Caenorhabditis elegans: one gene and its partners. The protein of the gene in region 2 purifies or fractionates together with the protein of the main gene of each other region. This does not show direct contact. Each region holds a gene or a part of one and is shown on either strand. Other genes may lie near its edges. The genes, in order: R05C11.2, acs-18, mif-4 and Y54E5A.2.

Evidence for each region.
Region 1: the proteins of acs-18 (region 2) and R05C11.2 fractionate together in Caenorhabditis elegans (co-fractionation; one large-scale study listed by BioGRID). This does not show direct contact.
Region 3: the proteins of acs-18 (region 2) and mif-4 fractionate together in Caenorhabditis elegans (co-fractionation; one large-scale study listed by BioGRID). This does not show direct contact.
Region 4: the proteins of acs-18 (region 2) and Y54E5A.2 fractionate together in Caenorhabditis elegans (co-fractionation; one large-scale study listed by BioGRID). This does not show direct contact.

The regions. Positions count from the first base shown.
Region 1 is NC_003282.8:2,056,867-2,060,842, reverse strand, and holds R05C11.2 (DUF38 domain-containing protein), read left to right. Parts: upstream 1-1,731; coding exon 1,732-1,847; intron 1,848-1,895; coding exon 1,896-2,640; intron 2,641-2,686; coding exon 2,687-2,965; 3' UTR 2,966-3,465; downstream 3,466-3,976.
Region 2 is NC_003282.8:10,310,194-10,315,226, reverse strand, and holds acs-18 (Long-chain-fatty-acid--CoA ligase), read left to right. Parts: upstream 1-1,561; 5' UTR 1,562-1,620; coding exon 1,621-1,707; intron 1,708-1,790; coding exon 1,791-1,964; intron 1,965-2,009; coding exon 2,010-2,207; intron 2,208-2,257; coding exon 2,258-2,402; intron 2,403-2,451; coding exon 2,452-2,833; intron 2,834-2,882; coding exon 2,883-3,080; intron 3,081-3,127; coding exon 3,128-3,737; intron 3,738-3,802; exon of another isoform or gene 3,803-3,823; intron 3,824-3,917; exon of another isoform or gene 3,918-4,008; intron 4,009-4,038; coding exon 4,039-4,182; intron 4,183-4,264; coding exon 4,265-4,429; 3' UTR 4,430-4,479; downstream 4,480-5,033. Other genes in the region: R09E10.8 (Saposin B-type domain-containing protein), read left to right, coding at 4,814-4,852, 4,899-5,033.
Region 3 is NC_003282.8:6,334,730-6,337,792, reverse strand, and holds mif-4 (Macrophage migration inhibitory factor), read left to right. Parts: upstream 1-1,798; 5' UTR 1,799-1,805; coding exon 1,806-1,865; intron 1,866-1,909; coding exon 1,910-2,038; intron 2,039-2,367; coding exon 2,368-2,544; 3' UTR 2,545-2,563; downstream 2,564-3,063. Other genes in the region: ipla-6 (PNPLA domain-containing protein), read right to left, coding at 21-138; blos-2 (Biogenesis of lysosome-related organelles complex 1 subunit 2), read right to left, coding at 2,826-2,863, 2,910-3,014.
Region 4 is NC_003279.8:14,692,478-14,700,218, reverse strand, and holds the start of Y54E5A.2 (Recep_L_domain domain-containing protein), read right to left. Parts: upstream 6,066-7,741; 5' UTR 6,050-6,065; coding exon 5,980-6,049; intron 5,905-5,979; coding exon 5,630-5,904; intron 4,899-5,629; coding exon 4,667-4,898; intron 3,776-4,666; coding exon 3,681-3,775; intron 3,635-3,680; coding exon 3,517-3,634; intron 3,044-3,516; coding exon 2,872-3,043; intron 2,779-2,871; coding exon 2,751-2,778; intron 2,275-2,750; coding exon 2,096-2,274; intron 1,464-2,095; coding exon 1,361-1,463; intron 1,314-1,360; coding exon 1,216-1,313; intron 970-1,215; coding exon 718-969; intron 234-717; coding exon 172-233; intron 14-171; coding exon 1-13.

The DNA of each region.
Region 1 (3,976 bases), 8.3 Mb from region 2:
TTTGTCGGATATCAATTTGCCGGAAGTGTTTTTTCCGGCAAATCGGCAATTTTCTGGTTGGCCGATTTGCCTATAATTTCAATTCTGGTAATTTGCTGATTAGCCGGAAAAAATCGTTTGCCGCCCACCACTGGAGTAGAGTCAATTTTTTTGCTTTAAATAATAGAAAATGGGCCGTAATGACTAAATTCAACAGTAAATATTAGTAGGCAAGAATTATAATAACAGTTCAGTTTTGAGTTTAACTACCGTACCCTTACAGTACCCATACATTTAATCAACTCATATGAGTAGGGTAATAGGTGTAAAGAAGCTCTATACAAAGAAAAACTAATCTCATTCATTTTAAGATGTTCCAAGAAAATATTGGTTTCCGTTTCGCATGTTCATATATTTCCAATAACTAACATCTGGATGCAATGCAGGAAAATATTATTGCGGTTAGAATTTCCTGGAAGACGTTGGGAAGATGGGTATTTGTTTTTCAAGCTGGACAATTTTTAGATTATTTGTTTTAGAGCAGTACTTGGATTTGGGGAATTTATGAAAACCTGGAAAACTTAACAGGTAAATAGCTAAATTTGCATAGGGGTTATTTAGATTTTTTTTCGGCAATTTTGTCAGTTGTCAATTTTCCTATGAATAAATTATTTTTGCTATGCAATCTATGCAACAAAAAGAACAACGAAAAACTAACGGAAAGAAGCCCAGAAAAATTATTTAATTAGTGAAAGCGTCGAAAGTTTGGCTCTTTTCTTTTATTTCCAATTAACATATATTCGGTCAGAAAATTTGTAGACTCTATGTGATCAATGTTCTTGACTAGTGAAAAGGTACCGACTATGCATGTTGATAATTGGTAAGTGAGCATAGTTGGTACCTACAATTTCTACGTCACAACATCTTGACCGTTTTTCCCCCACAACGGGAGTGGCCTGTGAGCGTATAGAGAGAGTTGAGTTTGTAGAGATACACAGGCAATATAACTGCCTCCTACATATTTTGCGAGAGAGTGACCTTTAGCAGGTGAGCCTGTACAACAGTTTTGGAGCTGACAAAATCTGATGCTGAAAAAGAATTCGTGTGTCCTGCTGTGTGGAAAAACTGTCAAGATGTTGTGACTTAGAAATTGAATGTACCAATTACCACATGCAAACTAGAGTGCGAATTAAATTATTTCAACTTTCGGTCACTGCGGCATAACATTGACATCATGGCAAAAGTTCAGATTTTCGTTAAATTTGCATTTTTCTCCAAATTGTGAATCAACTTAAAGGGGGAGTAGAGTTTGTGGATATTTTGCTTAAATAGACTAAAACTGGTCCAAAACCACCGAATTTCATAATGAGACATCACAAAAAATTTCGAAAACTTTCGAAAAAAAAAAATACACGAATAGGAACATTGCAATCATTTTTAAATTCTTTTTTATTCTGCTAAGTTCCAGGTAACCCCAAAAAAACTCATGTAGCCAAAAATCTGATCTTCCATTTCACTTCTGTCTTTTTTAATGTCCAATTAACATTATTTCCTAATTAGATAAGAGTGGCAGATCAAGAGCAACCTAAACCAAGTTTTGCCAAAATCTTGCTCAATTTATGGCCCGACACGAGAAAAAGCTAGAGTTAGCACAGAACAGGCATATTTTATTTCTCCTACAGTGTAATACTTGCACGAAACGAAATTATTGTTAACAATGCAACTATTCAGAACCAGCTAGAGCAGCTGACAATGGATGAAACGAAGCTTTTGTCTGAAGTTTCTGGCTCATCGATATCAAGCACTTTGTGGTTCTACAACACTGTGATTATGAACAGCGTTGTTGAACGTCTCGATTTTTTTGATATGTATGTAAAGTCTTTTGATTTTTTTTAGCTTGAATTTTATTTTTTCAGACAAGTGCTCCGTAAAATTTCTTATGGAAGCCGTCAGTGCATCGACCTTATCAAACCAGACCATAAATTACTCAAAATCGGCATTCATGTTCAAAGCATTGGGTGCGCACTTCTTGAGATGTTTACCGAATCCACAAACCGAAAAGTTTCATATAAGGCTTCAAGATTATCCAGAAAATCTAGCGAGTTGGATTACGGCAACTTTTCAAACGACTTGTTCCTTATTTTGAAAAATCAAAAATCTGCTTTGGAAGAACTTAAAATGAATTTTATGCAAGTTGATGAAACCAGCGAGTCAAGTTTCAAGGATGTTACGGAAGAAGAAAAAAAATACATGGATGAAATTGAGGGGAATCCCCAGGAAACAGAAAGTCATTCAATCTGGGACCAGAATGAGAATCGATTTTTGAAATCGTTCAAAGATTTGCACGCCTCGCTGGGTCGATTGCTGCCAGTGGAAAAGTTGGTTGTCACAACAAGAAACCAAAAAACCATAGTGCAACTGCTCCAATCCGTGGATCCCTCTAAGCTGAACAAAATTGAGTTTGGAACATCTTTCGACGTACCTGCAAGTGATGTATGGAGCATTGAAGAGTTTTTGGTCATGGAACAATGGAGGAATGCGAAAGAGTTGACAATTATTAAGCGTGTTATCAAGTGTGATGTTGAAAATCTTGTTCACTTCAGAAAAGTTGACATAATTTTGGATTCGTTATCATTGAAAAATGTTATATATTTGAGAGATGTGAGTTCGAATATCTCATGTAATTTTTAAAAAAAAATAATTTCAGATGTTCCTAGTTTCACCGGACTTTCTCCAGTTCAAGGTCACATTTGTGAACAGTGACGTAAATAATTCTATATTTCAAGAAGGATTTTTGGGAATTCCGTTTCGCATAGTTACCGATTCTACAAATAATCAACCTAGCATTTGGTTTTTCAATTGCATGAACGACACAGATGATCTACAAATTCGATATTATCAAAATCTTAAAAAATTCATGTTTAATCGTATTCCGAGGGAATCTAGTCCGGCTATTCCGAGGGAATCTAGTCCGGCTAGGTGCTAGAGCTGTTGTAAAGGTCACTTCCCTGTTCCTCGCCAACGGGACGAAAAGTTGTCCCTAATGATTTTTTTTTCAAATATTAATTTTTCACCTGATTTAAACTAGGGCTCCCATGAGGTCGCCGCAAAGGCGCCTTCGCCCGCCTCAGCGGTCGCCGCGCCGGCCTCACGGCGTCACTCTCGCCTTTCACTGAATTACACATAAACTTTTATTTTCATTTCTTATATTTTTTTTCTAAATTTTCAACGAATTTTTGAAAATTAAAATTTAAAATTCACGTCATTATTATTGAAAGCGGCGAACGGCGAAGGCGAAGGCCGGCCGGCGTGAGGCCGGCGTGAGGCCCGCATTTTGCGCCTCACTCAGCTGGGAACCCTAATTTAAACAATACTTTCATGTGCATGAATCTTTTGTACGTTTAAATATAATTTTTAATGGCGTGGATATAGATATTTCACGTACTATTTTTATAAATAAATAAATTCACTTATAATAAATTTAAACATTTATTTCTTAATTATTCTCAATTTACTGTGCACCTTTTCATATTTTACGGTAAAGTTAAATGTATCTAAATATTTGTTTAACCTGAAAATATTGTGCAACATAAAAAAAAAAAAAATATATATATATACAAAATGGACGCACTTTGACAAAATGAAAGCATAAATCAATAATAAGTCTCACTATGAGAAATGATTGAATAATTAAATAAATAAAAAATTTCAAGCTGGAAACTTGCTGGAAAAGGTGATAATTGAACTTTTTCTTAATTAAGAAATTTTCTTCAAACGAATGTTTCCGCGGTATTAAATTTTTTTATTGAAGCAAAAAGCGCAGAGATCGAAGATTTTTACATAAAAATTCCATATATTCCAACAAACATGGAAGAATTTTGAAAGAAGCACATGAGAAAAAGCACCGAATAATGATGAATTTTTAACCAAAAAATTCGAAAAAAATCACAAAAATACAGAAAAATTGAAGAAGCCGGGTGATTGAAAAAAAATCAAT
Region 2 (5,033 bases):
TGTCTGCTCTCCCATCTCCATCTGTTTCTCCTGCTCCAGTGCCAACAACCTCATGTGCTCCTCAGAAACCGTTGGTCGTTCAACCTCCAGTCCCGTTTGCTCCGAATCTGGCAGCCCAGACAGGAATGAAAGTATGTTTATTAGGAAAATGATTACAATGTCTAGAAATTATTTCAGCAGCGCCCACCATCCAACAACAATGTGGAAAAAAGTCTCTACTATTAAAAAGGAAAATGGACATTTAAATGAACTTTTTAAATAAGTATTTGCTGTGAATCAAACTTGGATGATTAATATTTTGTTCCTCTTTAGCTATTTTTCCTAGGCATGTAAAGTGTGCAGTAAAGGAATGGATACGCTTCACTAACAATAATTGGCCAAGCATTACTACACTGGACACACTTAGAAAGTTATTTCTCAATTTTTCATTTGATCTTGATAATTTCAAACTTGCTCGAAGTATGAGGAGAGCGATACACTTTTACCGGCTGCATGAAGAGGGATATAGCTTCCCAATTGTTGAATATCATTTTGAAATTTTTTCTATATTATACTATTCAAAACTGGAATCAAAATCGGTAAACAAACTTTTTGTAAGTTTTATACAAGCGATTAACAAAATATTGCAAACATGATGATGAAAAACTAGCTCAGTGTACAAAGTACAGTTTGAATAGATACATTTCCAGATAACATAAAAATTCTATCCAATCGTATTTTTGATTTGGCGAGCCACTGAAATTAGAAGTATAGCCATTAACGTAAACTTGTAAAAAATCTCCAGCAACTGTATTGATTGCACTCTTGAAATGACCTGCTGCCGTCCCAATCAAATCTCTTTTGTGGCGAACGATGGGGTTTTCAGACAGCTTTCCTTCTGGAAATAATATTTGATTTTCTATCATTTGAAATCAATAACCGTTACTAAAAGTATGTGTTATCTCTCTTTTACGTTTTCCAATTACATCCTCTGCCTGATAGAGCAATCCTTCGGCTTCACCAACAATATTATCAGCAATTCCAGCAACGGCTCCAAACAAGTCACGACGTTTTCTTGCAGGAAAAGAGTGAATTGATGGTGCAACCATTAGAACAATTATGATAGATATAAACTTCATTTTCAGTTTATTTTGAATTATAACATTGCTCTGAAGCTCGTTTTATATTGATGAAGTGCGTATAATCACAAGAAAAGTTCACATCAATACAGGAAGTCGAATTGTTTTTCCCTGATTATGATAATCATGTATACGAAACATTAGAAACTACAAATATTTGTGTACTTTACTGATAGAAAATTAAATTTATTTCGGTCTGTTGTTTGAAATTTGGCATGGTAGGCACTTTTACAGGCGTTCATTTCTTCTTGAAATTTTTGTGATGTAAAAAACTTTGACGAGTTCTTTTAAAAAAAAGGCAAAAAGCAGGATTAGTTTGAAAAATGTTGAAAGTTTGAAAAAGATAAAAAAGTTCTTAAAGATTTAAATTAACTTTAAGCGTGACACAGTGACATCTTCTACGCGGTTTTATCTTCAACTCACTGACAGTCAGTTTTCAAATTATTTCGTCTTAATTCTCGTGTGAACAAATATCTTACAAGTGACTCGCTGTCAGCTTACAATGTCCTATCGAGGATTAAATTTGATTACCCGACAAGTGATTTCACGCTTGACATTTCGATATTCTGGTCTTTTTACTAGGATTACTGTAAGTTGTGAAATTAAATTTCTATGGCGTCTCATAGAAATTGTGCGCGCGTCCTATAACTACCATCATATTCCGTGTTTCAGTACCCGATTTCCGTTCAAGATCGTGGATTCTTCTTTGGAAAACGTCGTGTACCAAGATGTGATCTAAAAAACCAATCGATTATTCAAGAAGATGGAGGTAGAAAGGCTGCGTGGCTTGGAGACGGTCCTCTACAACACGGATGGTTTGAAGGCGTTTTGACAACATATTCAGGGGTTTAATATTAATCAGATGTTTCAATAGACCAACGTTTACTTTAGATCCGTCGTGGACCAACTGTCGGTGGAAAAGAAATGTTGGGGAAAAGAGTGATGAAAGATGGAAAATTGGAATGGGAATGGATTTCATATGATCAAGCATTCGAAACATCTGATCATGCTTCACAAGCTATCAGAAAGTTGGGAATTGAAATTGGGGAAGAATCAAAAATTGGTATCTACTCGAATAATCGTCCAGAGGTAAAATAATAATTTTCAATCATGACAATCAATTGTTTCTGAATATTCAGTGGATTCTCTCAGAAATGGCAATACATAACTTCAGCAACGTTTCTGTTCCACTTTACGACACTATTACTAACGATGATATGCATTATATTACTAACCTTTGCGAAATTTCTTTGATGTTCGTTGACGCCGAAATAAAAACTAAACGTAAGTTTTTTTTTCTGAAAAAAAAGTGATCTACCTTTGTAAATTTCAGAACTCATTCGCGATAAGTCCTATTTATCAAGCTTGAAGTATATCGTTCAATTTAACGAGTGCTCAGATGACATTAAAGAAATGGCACGGGAAAATGATTTCCGTCTTTGGAGTTTCAATGAGTTTGTAGAAATGGGAAAGAAACAAAAGCATCGTCCACATGTTCCACCAACACCAGAAACATTGGCAACAATTTCATTCACTTCTGGAACAACTGGACGTCCGAAAGGTGTTATGCTGACTCATTTGAATATGTGCTCCGCCACAATGTCATGTGAAGAGTTTGAAAATGAAGCTGGAGTTCAAGATGCTTATCTGTCTTATCTTCCTCTTGCTCATATCTACGAAAGACTCTGCCTACTCTCTAACTTCATGATTGGATCGTAAGAAATTCAACTTCAATAATAATTTCCCGGTTTCAATTAACTTCAGGCGAATCGGATTTTCTCGTGGTGATCCCAAGCTTCTAGTAGATGACGTTCAGGCTCTGGCTCCTCGGTCATTTGCTACTGTTCCACGTGTTATTGATAAAATCCATAAGGCAGTCATGAAGCAAGTTCAGGATAAACCACTCAAGAAAATGATTTTGAATGCGGCAATAGCCTATAAACTATACCATTATAAGATGACGTAGGTTCCGATGGAACAGTTGAAAACACTTTTTAATCATTTTTTAGAGGCAAAGCTACTCGTAAAACATGGGTAGATAAGTATGTTTTGCATAAAATCCAGATGCTTCTCGGTCCTAACATCAGACAATTGATTCTTGGAGCTGCAAAATCAGACGTTTCCGCAATGAGGTTTGCTCGTGGGGCTTTTGGAGTTGAGGTTCTGGAAGGATACGGACAAACTGAAACATCTGGACCAACAACACTTCAATTGGTTGGAGATACACGTATTGGATGTGTTGGACCACCGATGGCTTGTGCGATGATAAAATTAATTGATGTTCCTGAACTTGGATATTCTGTTGATAAAAATGGTGGAGAAGTACTTGTGAAGGGTCATAACGTCACTTCAGGATATTACAAGAATCCAGAAGCAACTGCATCATCTTTCACTGAAGATGGATACATGAAAACTGGAGATATTGGAAGATTCACTGCTGAAGGATCTCTTCAAATTATTGATCGACGCAAAAACGTTTTCAAAATGCCACAAGGAAAGTTTGTGGCTCCAGATCTCACAGAATCCCTCTACACTTCTTCGAGTTTTGTCCAACAGATTTACGTTCATGGCGATATGGAAAAACCGTGGCTTGTAGCAATCGTTGTCCCAGATCCAGAGGTAATAATAATAATTTTATACTGTTTCAGAGAATTTCATATATGTGAAGTTCGATTCTTCTGTGTTTCTTTTATCGCTGATAATGATTGCGAAATGAATATTGACACTGGAGACTCAAAGCCGTTGATAGAGAATGAGATAGAGAATGACAAAAATGTCAACACTAGAATGAAACCGATTTTCGTCCGGTTCCATGGTGTAGCGGTTAGCACTCAGGACTTTGAATCCTGCGACCCGAGTTCAAATCTCGGTGGAACCTATCGTTTTTGTTATTATTTCTTCTAAAAACTTTTTTTTTCAGTATCTTGCTTCATATGCGCTAACCAAACACAACATCAATGGGAAAACCTATGAACAATTGTGCAACATTCCGATTCTCGCAGATGATGTGCTGCGACAATTTGTAGAACTCACAGAAGAAGATAAAAGGCCAAGATATGAAGGGGTACTGTTTAGGAATTTAGGAATTTCATGTTTATCACTGTTTAGGAATTTCATGTCAATAAATATTTAGTTTTTAACTTTAGGTGTACGGCGTTCACTTGACGCCAGTTGCTTTTTCGGCTGAAAATGGGTTGACAACACCTACATTGAAGAATAAGAGAAATGCTATCGCACAGTTTTTCAAAGCGGAAATTGATGGAATGTATAAGAAGATTGAGACTAGTGAACTTTCGAATTTGGCAAAATGAACAATAATGAAATTTCTGGAGAACTTAAAAAAGGCTTCTCCCAACGATCTGAGAAATTAGTTAAAGGTAACATGGAGATTGCAAAATACCATGTATTGAAGGCCGAGTAGCTTGAAAAAAATTGTTAAATGACCAAGCTTGACAACATTCGCGAATATGACATTTCCTACTCTACATGTTTTTGTTTTCAGATGTTCTTTTTTTCGAAGAGATTATAGTTTTCAAAGAGTTTTAACTCCACACAGACATCATCAGAGAAGAACAAATAAATCTAGTGAATTTCCCAAGTCGGTTTTTGTGAAAGATGGGAATCTTACTGTTCTCCCATATATTTTTTAAATAAAAGCAATGACAGGGTGTGTCTAGGCATATTTCGTTCAAAATATGAATCTCATTTTTCCTCTCTTCTTCTTCGCCCTTTTGGTAAGTATATAATGTTTAGAGTTTCTGTGTATGCCTTCATTTACAGGTTGGATCAAACGCCCAATTTCAACAATTTTGCAATTACTGTGGATTCATTGAAGTTCCAAAGACTTGGCCAGTAGCTCAAGATTCTCTGAGAAGTGCATGTGAAACACTTGGAATGGCAACAACAGCGTGCAAG
Region 3 (3,063 bases), 4.0 Mb from region 2:
GAAATCAGAAAAAATTGTACCTTGTGTATTTGAACTGCTAAAAAATGGTCGTTCTGGTGTTAAACCATCAATTGTACTCGGATGTCGGCGGAGCAGTGGAAGGGATGTTCGATGGATCAGTGTACTTGTGGTAGCCATATCTAAAAAAGGTAATAATTATTTATTACTCGGAAGTGAAATTTTACGATTTTTGCGCCAGATATACGGTAGCCGGTCTCGCCACGAACAATTTTAGTTAAATGCGACAAGGTCTCGGTTGTTGCGGAATTTTTATAGAATTTCATAGTTTTTTAGACAAAAAACACTTTTATTTATGTTTAAAACAACTCAAATATAACAATAAAACGCATGAATTCCAACAAATCGATGCTACAGTAATCTTTAAAGGCACACGTCTTTTCACATTTCCTATGCTTGTCGTGTCGAGACCGTGTGCCGTATTTCTGGCGCAAAAAACAACAAAATTTCGCTTTTGAACAATAATTAAATAAAAAAGAAATTTAAAAAATGAGACGTGGGAATTGTATACGGTTAATTTCAAAGAATTCACGGGAAAATTCATTGAAAAAATTCAAATCTCAGAAAAAAAGTGAAGAGTGAACAGTTTTAGAAACCTTGTCAGTTTGGAAAACTACGTGATAACTCAAAAGAACGGAAGAAAGTTTCTCACTTTTCCGTGTCTCTCTGTAATCTCTTGACAAAGCCCACTATTTCAGGCCATCAGAGAACAGGGTCGGGAGGATCACGCCACTCGTTTCAACACTCAGTAGTCCACAGCTTGCACTACCCACATTGTTTCTCCGTCTGCGTATCCACGTCTTATGTTGTCTCTCGCATTGTCTTTCTATTTCTGAGTCTCTTGCACCTCTCTGTCATCATGCATATATACAATTGAAATGGAAAGGACAGACTGCACTAAACCGAAAAGCACGTGGTCTTGTCTGGGAGGAGAAGAATGTTGAAGACAAATCACACGACAACGTGATATGTGACGTCACAGAGGGGAGTCCCCACGTGACAGGTACTTTAATGAGACAGAGAAAGTTCGAAATGTTGAGTCACGAATCGCGAACGGAATTGAGCCGAGTGGAAAAAAAGAGTTGGAAATTTCGAGATGAGCAGCCAGCTGATTTAGTCTACAGTAATCTAGAATAACTAAACAAAAGTTTTTGAACCTATTCCAGCTTTATGAGTCATGAAAAATGGAGCGCAGCAATAAAAATATGGTGTACGAATTTCAGGAAATACTTCTCGTTAACAAAGATAGTTTGAAACTACAGTACTGTTCAAAGCGCTGACATGGTTGTGTCTAAGAAAAATTGTCGTACCGAGACCTGGTACCGTATTATTATAGCAAAAATCGCGAAAATCTGCATCTGAATAATATCAACTACATAACTGAGATCGTGGCGAGACCCTAATGAAATTACGATAATATAAATAATATTGATTCAAAACTGTGATTCTTGCTTCTAGTTGTTGCAACACATTCTGATCTGTGTCTCCCTAACCTACTTCCGATTTTCACCAAAAAAACCGTGTGCCCAACCCAAAATTCAAGGTCAAACTTATTTCCATTTCCCCGTACTAATTGTTTCCATGTCATCCCATTTCTGTCCATCCTGCGCACATAACATTGACAAATGGAGTTGTGTATTTATTGTCGAGTGCACGCTCTTTTCTTCGAGCGACATGTTTTCTCAGCTGGCTGAGCATTTTTTCCCGTTGGTTTTTATGTTGCGAAACGACAATTTCTCTTTTTTTTAAAATATTTTCAAGCCGAATTTCAAAATTTTAGAATTAAAATGCAAGTTGTTCGAATTCAAACCAACATCCGAAGTGCTGATATTCCAGAAAAGTTTGAAGTAAGTTTGCATAAAACGAAATTTCTAATTTCTAATATTTTCAGCAAGATGTGATCTACAATTTATCAGTTGTAATGGAATTACCAGCTGATAAATTCGTGATTATTGTTGAGCCGGCAGTTAGAATGAGAATTGGATTTGAGAATAAAGAAATTCCAGTTGCAATTGTAAATGTGCGTTTTTTTTTATTTTGAAAAAATATTAGGCTTGGGTCTTGTCACGTGTAAAATTTTTCAGCTACAGTAACCTGTGTATTTTTCAAAATCTGAAAACTTTTTTATAATTAAAATTTTTTTAATCGAGAAGAAATGTGTGAAAAATAGAAAAACTAACTAGATTCATAAAATATAAGTTAATTTTATGAGAAAAATATTTTTAACTAAAAAGTGATAGAATACCGGGGTACGGTAGCTGACAAGTTTTGGACGTGCCGGGACCAGAGACCGTGTTTTTTTTTTTTGAAAATGTCAACTCGTTGAAAATTAAGAATAACAATTTTCAGTTCCAAACAACCCGGCCTTCTTCTCGAATCGAAAATGACTCATATGCAAAAAAATTGACATCAGTGCTCAATGAGCAGTTGAAGCTTGATCCCGCCCATATTTTCATATCATTTGATTTTAAAGATGCAAAAAGTTTTGCAACTCAAGGGAAGACAATTGCTTCTTTGTATGAATAAATTTGTAAAAAAGTTGAAACGCATGGATTTAACAATGAAGTAAACATCTGAAAACATCGAAAAAAACAAGACAAAGCATAATTCATAAGTTATTTTATAGCAAAAGGGAGGGAGCAAAATTAGCATTAATGAGAAATAGAAACTTTGACAAGAAAATGTAAAAATAAGTTATGCTGAATATAATGACTAGAGTTACATAAATTATTGAACGGAATGTGAATAAGAAATCACACATTAATTTAGTTACAGAAAAGCTGGAAATAGTTTGAGATTGAGCTGGCTTATTGGCTTTGCTGTTGGATGTTGGTGAGCTTGGATTCTGAAATTAAAAATCTTTGAATTTTTTCTTGAAAGGCTTAACCTACCGAGTTGGGTAACATAATTTTCAAGAACAGCGGTAGCTTCCTCCAATCTCCGGGTGCTCTCATCCATAGCATCAATTTGGGAAAGATATGGACGCAGATTCTCGTCTGGAAAATAATCTTTCATAAATTTTCCGAAATAAATAATAAAGGCATA
Region 4 (7,741 bases), on a different chromosome or scaffold from region 2:
AGCAGGAAGAATGCTGAAAATGTTTTATTATTTTTGAGCTGATTCTTTTTTTTTGAAATTCAGCATTTTACTTTCATTAGACGCGATAAGTTTTCAGAAGTATTAAATTATTGGAATTTTTTGTTGTAAATTCTCACTATTTCAATTTTAATTTTCTTCAAAAACTCTTACCAGCAATTGCCAGCGCCCAATAGAATACAGTATTTTGTATTGCAGAAACCTTCTCGTCAACTCTGAAAGTTCGAAATTTGTTATCAAATATATATTCCCCAAAATTCCAAATTCCATGAAAAGCCTCAAAAAATTCTGTAAAATCGATATTTCTGAAATATCCCGAAAATTCTAAAATCAAAAATTTTTTTTAAAAATCGCATTTTTTTGAATTTTTAAACCTTAAAAAAATTTGAAATTTTTCCGACGTTTTTTCGGACGTTTTTCAACTTTTTTTTTAACTATTCAGACTTTTCCAAAAATTATTTGGCAATAAATCAAACTCCAGGAAATTCTGGAAAATCGATAAAATTCCATTATTTTCAAAAAAAACATTAATTTCCCAGAATTTTCCCAACTAGTAGCAATTTTCGAAAAATTCTGAAAATTGAAAAAAATCGAAATTGTTAAATGTTATAAAAAGTTTCAGGGAAAATTGGAAACATTTGAAAATTGAAAATCTGAAAAAGAAAATCTGAAAAATTCCCAAAAAATTTCCAAACTCACTTTAAATTATGAAAAGTGATTCGAACCTTCTTCCGTTCCTTCGCCAAAATCAAATCAATTTTCATGTGCCACGTGGAAAAGTCAAGAATGAGTAGCTCGCCGCCACGTTGCACGGTTCCCTGCAGCAGACACGGGCGGTTCTTATCGTATTTTTTGGGTTTTCGAAGATCAATTCTCCATTTGGCGGACGTGGTTCGCATATCGTGAACTTCTGAATCCATTCGGATACGGAGATGTTGGTGGGCTCCGACGCTGAAAAATCGATAATTTTGCTCCTGATGATGTAAAAGCGCTCTATCGAACAAGTAGGCATTTTTGTGGAATCGATAATAAAAAATCGATATTGTTAATATCGATTGTTCCAGAAAATTTTGCGATAGAGCACAATTGCATCCGATTGACAATAATTTCCTAATCAAATTTAAACATGATCGAGTCCTTATCAATGTCTCCCATTTTGCAATTGCGCTCTACTGAACTAAGGAAGCAAAAACCCACGTCACTTTCATATTATCCATTCCAACGAGCACATCGATAAATTGCACTTGCTGACACGAATCGGAAACTTGCTCCTCGGATTCCACGTGGACGTCTTCCTAAACGTAGGTATGCCTACATGCCTGCCTGTCTACACTGAACTTACCATCGAAATATTGTGGCACTTGGCCCACTCGTAGCAATTCGTCTTTTGAATATTCGACTTGCAGGACTCTAATTCGATGAACATTCCAGACGTGAATTTGTGCCTGGAAACAGCAGTCGTATCAAAAAAACTGTTAATTGCCAAAATGTAGAGAATTCGATTTCCTATATTTTGTCCATTTACAAAATTTCATTAGCTTTGCTTTCCGCAGAGTTATAAGCGTTTTAAGTTTGCAAGGTAAGTGAGAGAGTGTGTGGCGAGGGGAGAGCGCAGACACCGCAGAAACTTTAAAGCGGTGTATCTCAAAATTGAAAAATGCTCAGAATTTCATGCTCTACAAGATGGGCGAAAAAGATTTTGAAACTTTGGAAAAAAAAAAGTTTTTTAGCATTTTTGAGAAAAATTTCAGCGGGCTTTATCTCGGTGGTAATAGGAGCTACATAAAAGTTGTCAACTAACAATTTGTAGAAAATTTTATGTAGTTTATTTTATTAATTAAAACAAATATTCTGCCTCCCACCCACGCAAAAATACACCTGTTTTTATGATTTCTGTAGCTCCGAATCCGTAAGAGCTACAGAAAACTTGTCAACTAGAAATTTCAAGCAAATTTAAAGTAGTTAAGTTGATTAATTGATACTTTCTTCGTATCTCATTTTTGCGCAAAGATATGGGGGTTTTAAAGAAGCTTTTAACCACCTCCCCTCAAAACCTAAAAATTCCCTTTCAACTTACCCAGCAGCCTTGTTAGCTACAATGAACTTTGGCACCAAATCACTTCGGATATCTCTTAAAATATCCTCAAGCACAATTCTTTTCAACAATGACGAGAACAATGGAATTCCCTGATGAGCATACGGAGGGATTGAGAGCAGTCTGTGAAGTTGGTTCAGTGACTCGCTGGGTTGGTTGGGCTGGAAATTGAAATGGTGAGAGGTGATGGGAATTGTAAAACGAACACTTTGTAGAGAATTTAATTTTCTACAAGTTGCTATCATAGATAACAACTTTTTGATATCAAGTATCTGAACGGGATTAGACAGGTTTTGGGCTAGTCTTCTGGGGGAAGTGAAGCGCTATCTCAAAACTCCTATAACTCGGAGAATTTTGTAGGTGCCAAAAAGTAGTTAACTAAAAGTAGTTAATTCTATAAAGAATCTAATTTGCTACATTTTGCTAGCTAACAATACTTTGAGATCTTACATCTGAACGGAGCTAGAAAGCTTTCGAACTATCTTGGAGGAACTCCTGTATCTCCGCAAAGTTACCTAGCTATCAAAAAGTTGGTAATCTGTAGAGAAATTAATTTCCTACAACTTGTCAGTTGATAACTATTTGGTAGCTTGTACTATTACAAAGCTACAGCCACTTCAAATAACTTCCATCTTACCTGCGCTTCCTTTTCCATTTTCCACTTCCTAATCGACAAATGCCCAACTCGGGTGCGAGCGGAATATTGATTTTCATTGAAAATTTTAAATATGTACTAAAAATAAGAGGTGAAAACTGACCAATCACTAGCAGTCTCATAATCATGTCCACAGATTGAGGTGGGACAGCAGCACGCCGAACAGCAACCCCAATCATCCCAGGAGATGAACAATTGAATATTGTTCTTAGTGTCGTTCACAGAGTTTATTGAAATTTCCAGAGACTCGTAGTTTTCGTAGGTGAAGATTTTATCTGAAACTGTATTTTCAATGGAATTCTCTATATTTTGTCATCTGTCAACTAATTGCCAGAATTTTGATATCTTCCTGATAAATTAAAATGAAAGGGTTGTTAACTAGGGATCCATAAAGAACGTTATATGGATTTTGGAATTTCTGAGTTTTTTCCTTAAAAAATGATCACACGAAAAAGTTGCCAACTAACAAAATATGCTCATTAAAATTCTATACATTTCGGCAGTTGACAACTCTTTGATAGCATTCCTCTGCGCAAAGTTACAAGCTTTCAAAGTTTTCCCAATGCGAGAGTGTAGAGGAGAAGGAGAGCGCTGGCAGTGTCTGCACTCTCCCCCTCCTCCGCGCTCTCTCGCTAATAAAACTTCAAAGCGGGGTATATCTCGGCGGGGAGTAGAGATAGAGAAATCATGGAAAACGAAGAAAGAATCAGAATTTGAATTTCTATACGATAAAGTCAATAAAGCTTACCATTCTGCTCTCCGTCCCCAATAATATCCTCATTCACAAAGTTATAGCTGCTCACAATTTTACCATTCAACTCAATTCCACACATTGTAGTAAATCCTTCAATTTTTCGAGAATGAATCTGTAAATTTTTGAGTTTTTCAGAGAGTAAAGTCCTGGAAACCAACCGCCAGCTCTCCATTGGGGAGCCCTATAGCTTCTCTGTCGGTTTCAGTGGCTCCATGCTCTCCACTCCATCTTGTCACCTTTCCAAAATGCAGGTCTGTGGAAGGTGTAGTTTGGCAAAAGATATAAAAAGGAAAACGGCGTCACAGGGACTGGAATCAAAAATGTGCTCACAATAATTTTCAGTTAATTTGGCTCAATTTCGGGATGATTTACAGATATAAGCTAGTTCTAGATAAACTATACAAGCTTCAAAAGTACTAAGCTTAGGGTTTTTAATGGTACTACATTATTTTAAGTATGATGAAGCTATTGTTTATGGTGCATGATTTGTGGATTTTTAAGCAAAATAGCCTGTAAAATTTTGTAAAGAAAGCTCCATCGGCTGCTCAGATACGAGCTTAAACACCAAGTGGCACCAAAAAACTTGCTAAAAGCCATTTACAACTTAAAAAAATAGCCCGCTCAGTAGCTTCATGTCGGGCTTAAAGGTCATAAAAAGTTGAAAATCAAGCTTTTGCAGGTTTCCAGTTATTTCGATGATATGAAAAACAAAAATTACACCACCAAATTACTACATTAAATGTATTTTTGAAACTGAAAAATTTTATGCTTCTTGAAAAAATGAGAATTTTCGGCGAAATTGTCGAAAATCGCAGGGGGGGGGTCCCATAGCAGTTGGGCGGTCGATTTTTCAACTTTTTGCTCTTTTGCACTCAACTTTTGAGATATCATGATAAAATTATAGATCCATAGGTTTTTTGGTATGCTGATTCCAATTCCAATACTAGTTTTCTATAAAAAAGTAGCTGTTGGGTGCACTGTACCTACTAAGCACCTTAGGAGTACCCTTGAGAGATAATGAAGGCTTGTGATATGTATGCTATGCTTAACTAGACTCATTGAATTCAGAAATAAATTTCTGATACTTTGAGGGTAATTTCAGCTAGTTCGTCTAATTTTCAGCCAAGTTAAATAATACACTCACTATTAATTCTCAAGTAATCCTGAAAATTCGAGACACGTGGCTCCTGTTCACAATCCTCCCGACTACAATAGTGCAATAAATTATTGATTTTTCGAGAGCCGATCGTCAATTTCGTGAAAATCTGAGTGAAATCACGTTCCGGGAATACGTAGTACATTTGATGGAGACCTTCAATTATCGGATGACACGTGGCACATTGCGGTTGGTACGGGAGGCCCGCTTCGCGAGTTTTCTGCAAAATAACGTTGATTTTGATGCAGGGGCAGCGTTTTCTGGAGAATTTAAATATCGGGGGAAGGCGATCTCAAAAAAAAAGGGGCGGGAAAAACAATTGAAAATTTACGCTCCGCCCCTATAACAGGTCTAAATTTTGAACTTTTACACTCAAATCTACAAAATTTTATAGAAAAAAAACGGTTTTTTTCATGTGAATAAGCCCGCAAAAGATAATAAAACACGTGGTCAGAGTGTCCCATTTCGGTGTGATCTTCAAAAAATGCGGGAATTGAGTCGCAGATTTCTCAACAAATTTTGTAAGTGTGCTGGCGACACATTTTACTGGGCAAAAAATTTCCGCATTTTATTGTAGATCATTCAAATTTACGCTACGCCTCTATAACATGTCTAAATTTTGAACTTTAACACTAAAATCTACAAAACTTTATGGAAAACGCCTGACACCACGTGTAAAAGTGCGCTTCACCAAATTTATTTTAATCATTTTTTTTTCTCTTTTGCTCATGAAATGAATTTGCTCACTAGAAACATATAAAATCTAGCAGAAAAACAGCTGCATTTGTCTATGATCTTAAAAATTGATTAAAACTGGTCTTGGCACGATTCGCGAGTGTGCAAACGCGCTCCACCGAACTTTTGCCGTTTTTATAGATTTTTAGGCCCGAAAAGCTAAAATTCAACAATATTATATAAAAATTATCGAATAAATAGAAAAAAAAATTAAACCTGAAAAATGCGAAATCCAATATTAAAGAACCCGTTAGAATCACACAATTCCTTTGATATATGAGGAATTCGAAACGCCGGATTCGATATAAAATATGGTAATTTGTGATAAATCGTCTGATTCCCATTTAACCATCCCAGTGAGTCGAATTCCAAGATTTTTCCGTCGAATAGTATATTGTTGTACTTGTGAACGTTCAGGTAATTCTCAAATCTCCACGTGTCTTTTGATAATGGAATTGAGGAGTACAGGGAGTAGAGTTCCGCTCGTCTTTCTGAAAAAAAAACAGTAGATTTGAGACTTTGCAGAAAGGGGCTGCAAACGCGCTCCAGCGAAGAGGTCTCCTTACCAAACTCGATAACAATTCCATGCACTGTCGAAAAAAGCATAAGTTTCAGAAAATTGAACAACAAAACCATGGTTGGTTTGGAGAAATGAAGCAGATTGATTTTTCAATGGATTTAAAAAGTTTTTACGTGATAAATTATTTTTAAAAACATATTTTTTAAATAAATCGTATCGAAAATTTAATTAAAAATTAAATATACCCCGTGAAATTCTCTACATTTTGTTAGTTAAACACTTTTTGATAGCATTTCTCTGCGTGAAGTTGTGAGCGTTTGAAGTTTTTTGGGGTGAGAGAGTGTGGGGGAGGGCGAGAGTGCAGAGAGATATACTGCCTGCACTCTCCTCTCCCTCCACGCTCTCAACACCGAAACTTAGAAGAGGTGTATCTTTGCAGAGAGGAAAGATACAAAAATATTGTAAAAAGGAAAAATGTTCAGAATTTGATTCTCTATATATTGCAATAAAAACAAATTGTTCGGAGTTTTTTTTAGTTTCTTGTTTTTTTTTCCTGAAATTCAAACTAAAAAGTGTATTTGAGCAGTGTTTTGCTCTACAAAGATATTCTGCATTTATTGGGTAAGAGCCAAAAGTGCCATATCTAACCGGAAGCTTATTCTACCAAATTTTACTTAACTAACAAAATATACGCCTTGAAATTCTGTACATTTTTGCAATTTACAATATTTTAATTGCACTCCTCTGCTCAAAGTGACAGGCGTTTTAAGATTGGCGGGTGAGAGAGCGCGAGGGAGGGGGAGAGTGCAGACACTGCCTGCGCTCTCCCCCTCCCCCACACTCTCTCACCCGCCAAAACTTCAGCGTGGTGTAACTCGGCGGGTAGGAAAGATAGAGAGGTAGTGTAAAAGACAAGAATGTGTAGAATTGGATTTTCTACTGGATAACGTTTTGAGTTTTAGCATTTATGAAATTTATGAAAAATGAATGTTTGAATTTGAATTTTCAATTTTTAGTTTTCCAAATGATATTTCATAATGTTTCCGTCTAGTTTTCATTATCAATTTCCCTATACTCTACTGTCTGAAACTGTTTGTTTTACCACGAAAATGACCAATACCTAGTGAATCATTGGAAAAAAAGAGCATCGCTTCCCTCTCCCGTCTCGCTCTCAAAACACACACACACACAGTTCCTTCCTTTCTATTTGCATGTATAGTTGCATTCTCTACGCAATAAGTCCACCTTTCCGTATGTGTGTGCTCCAAGAGCAACGGAAACTGGATTCAGGTGGTTGCTAACCAACCAATTTCCCCCTCTGGCTTTTCATCCTATAAGGTTTCCAATTTATCACTTTTTGTCTCAGAGAGCATATGTGCCTTTGAATTTATTGAAAAATATAAATTTTTAGTTTGAAAATGTGCAACCTTTGCTAGATGTTTTGCTTTAAAAAGCACTCGCGCTATTTTTTACTTGTTTGTGCGTGGTTTTACGAATTTTTAACTAAATATTTCTTAAGCCCCCTATATCTTCCTGAAAAATGAAGATATCAAAATTTTCTCAGCCAACAAAATATTCTCCTCAAAATTCTCTACATTTTTGCAGTTATCATTGTTTCTCTACCTCTTTTTTCCACAGAGTTACACGCGTTTCAAATTCGACGGGGTGAGAAAGTGTGGGGGAGGGGAGTGCGCAGACACTGCGCTCTCTCCCTCTTCCACACTCTCTCGCCTTCAAAACTTTGAAGCGGTGTATCTCTGCAAGTAAGATAGGTAGAAGCATACTGTAAAAGCAAAATTGTGTAGAAT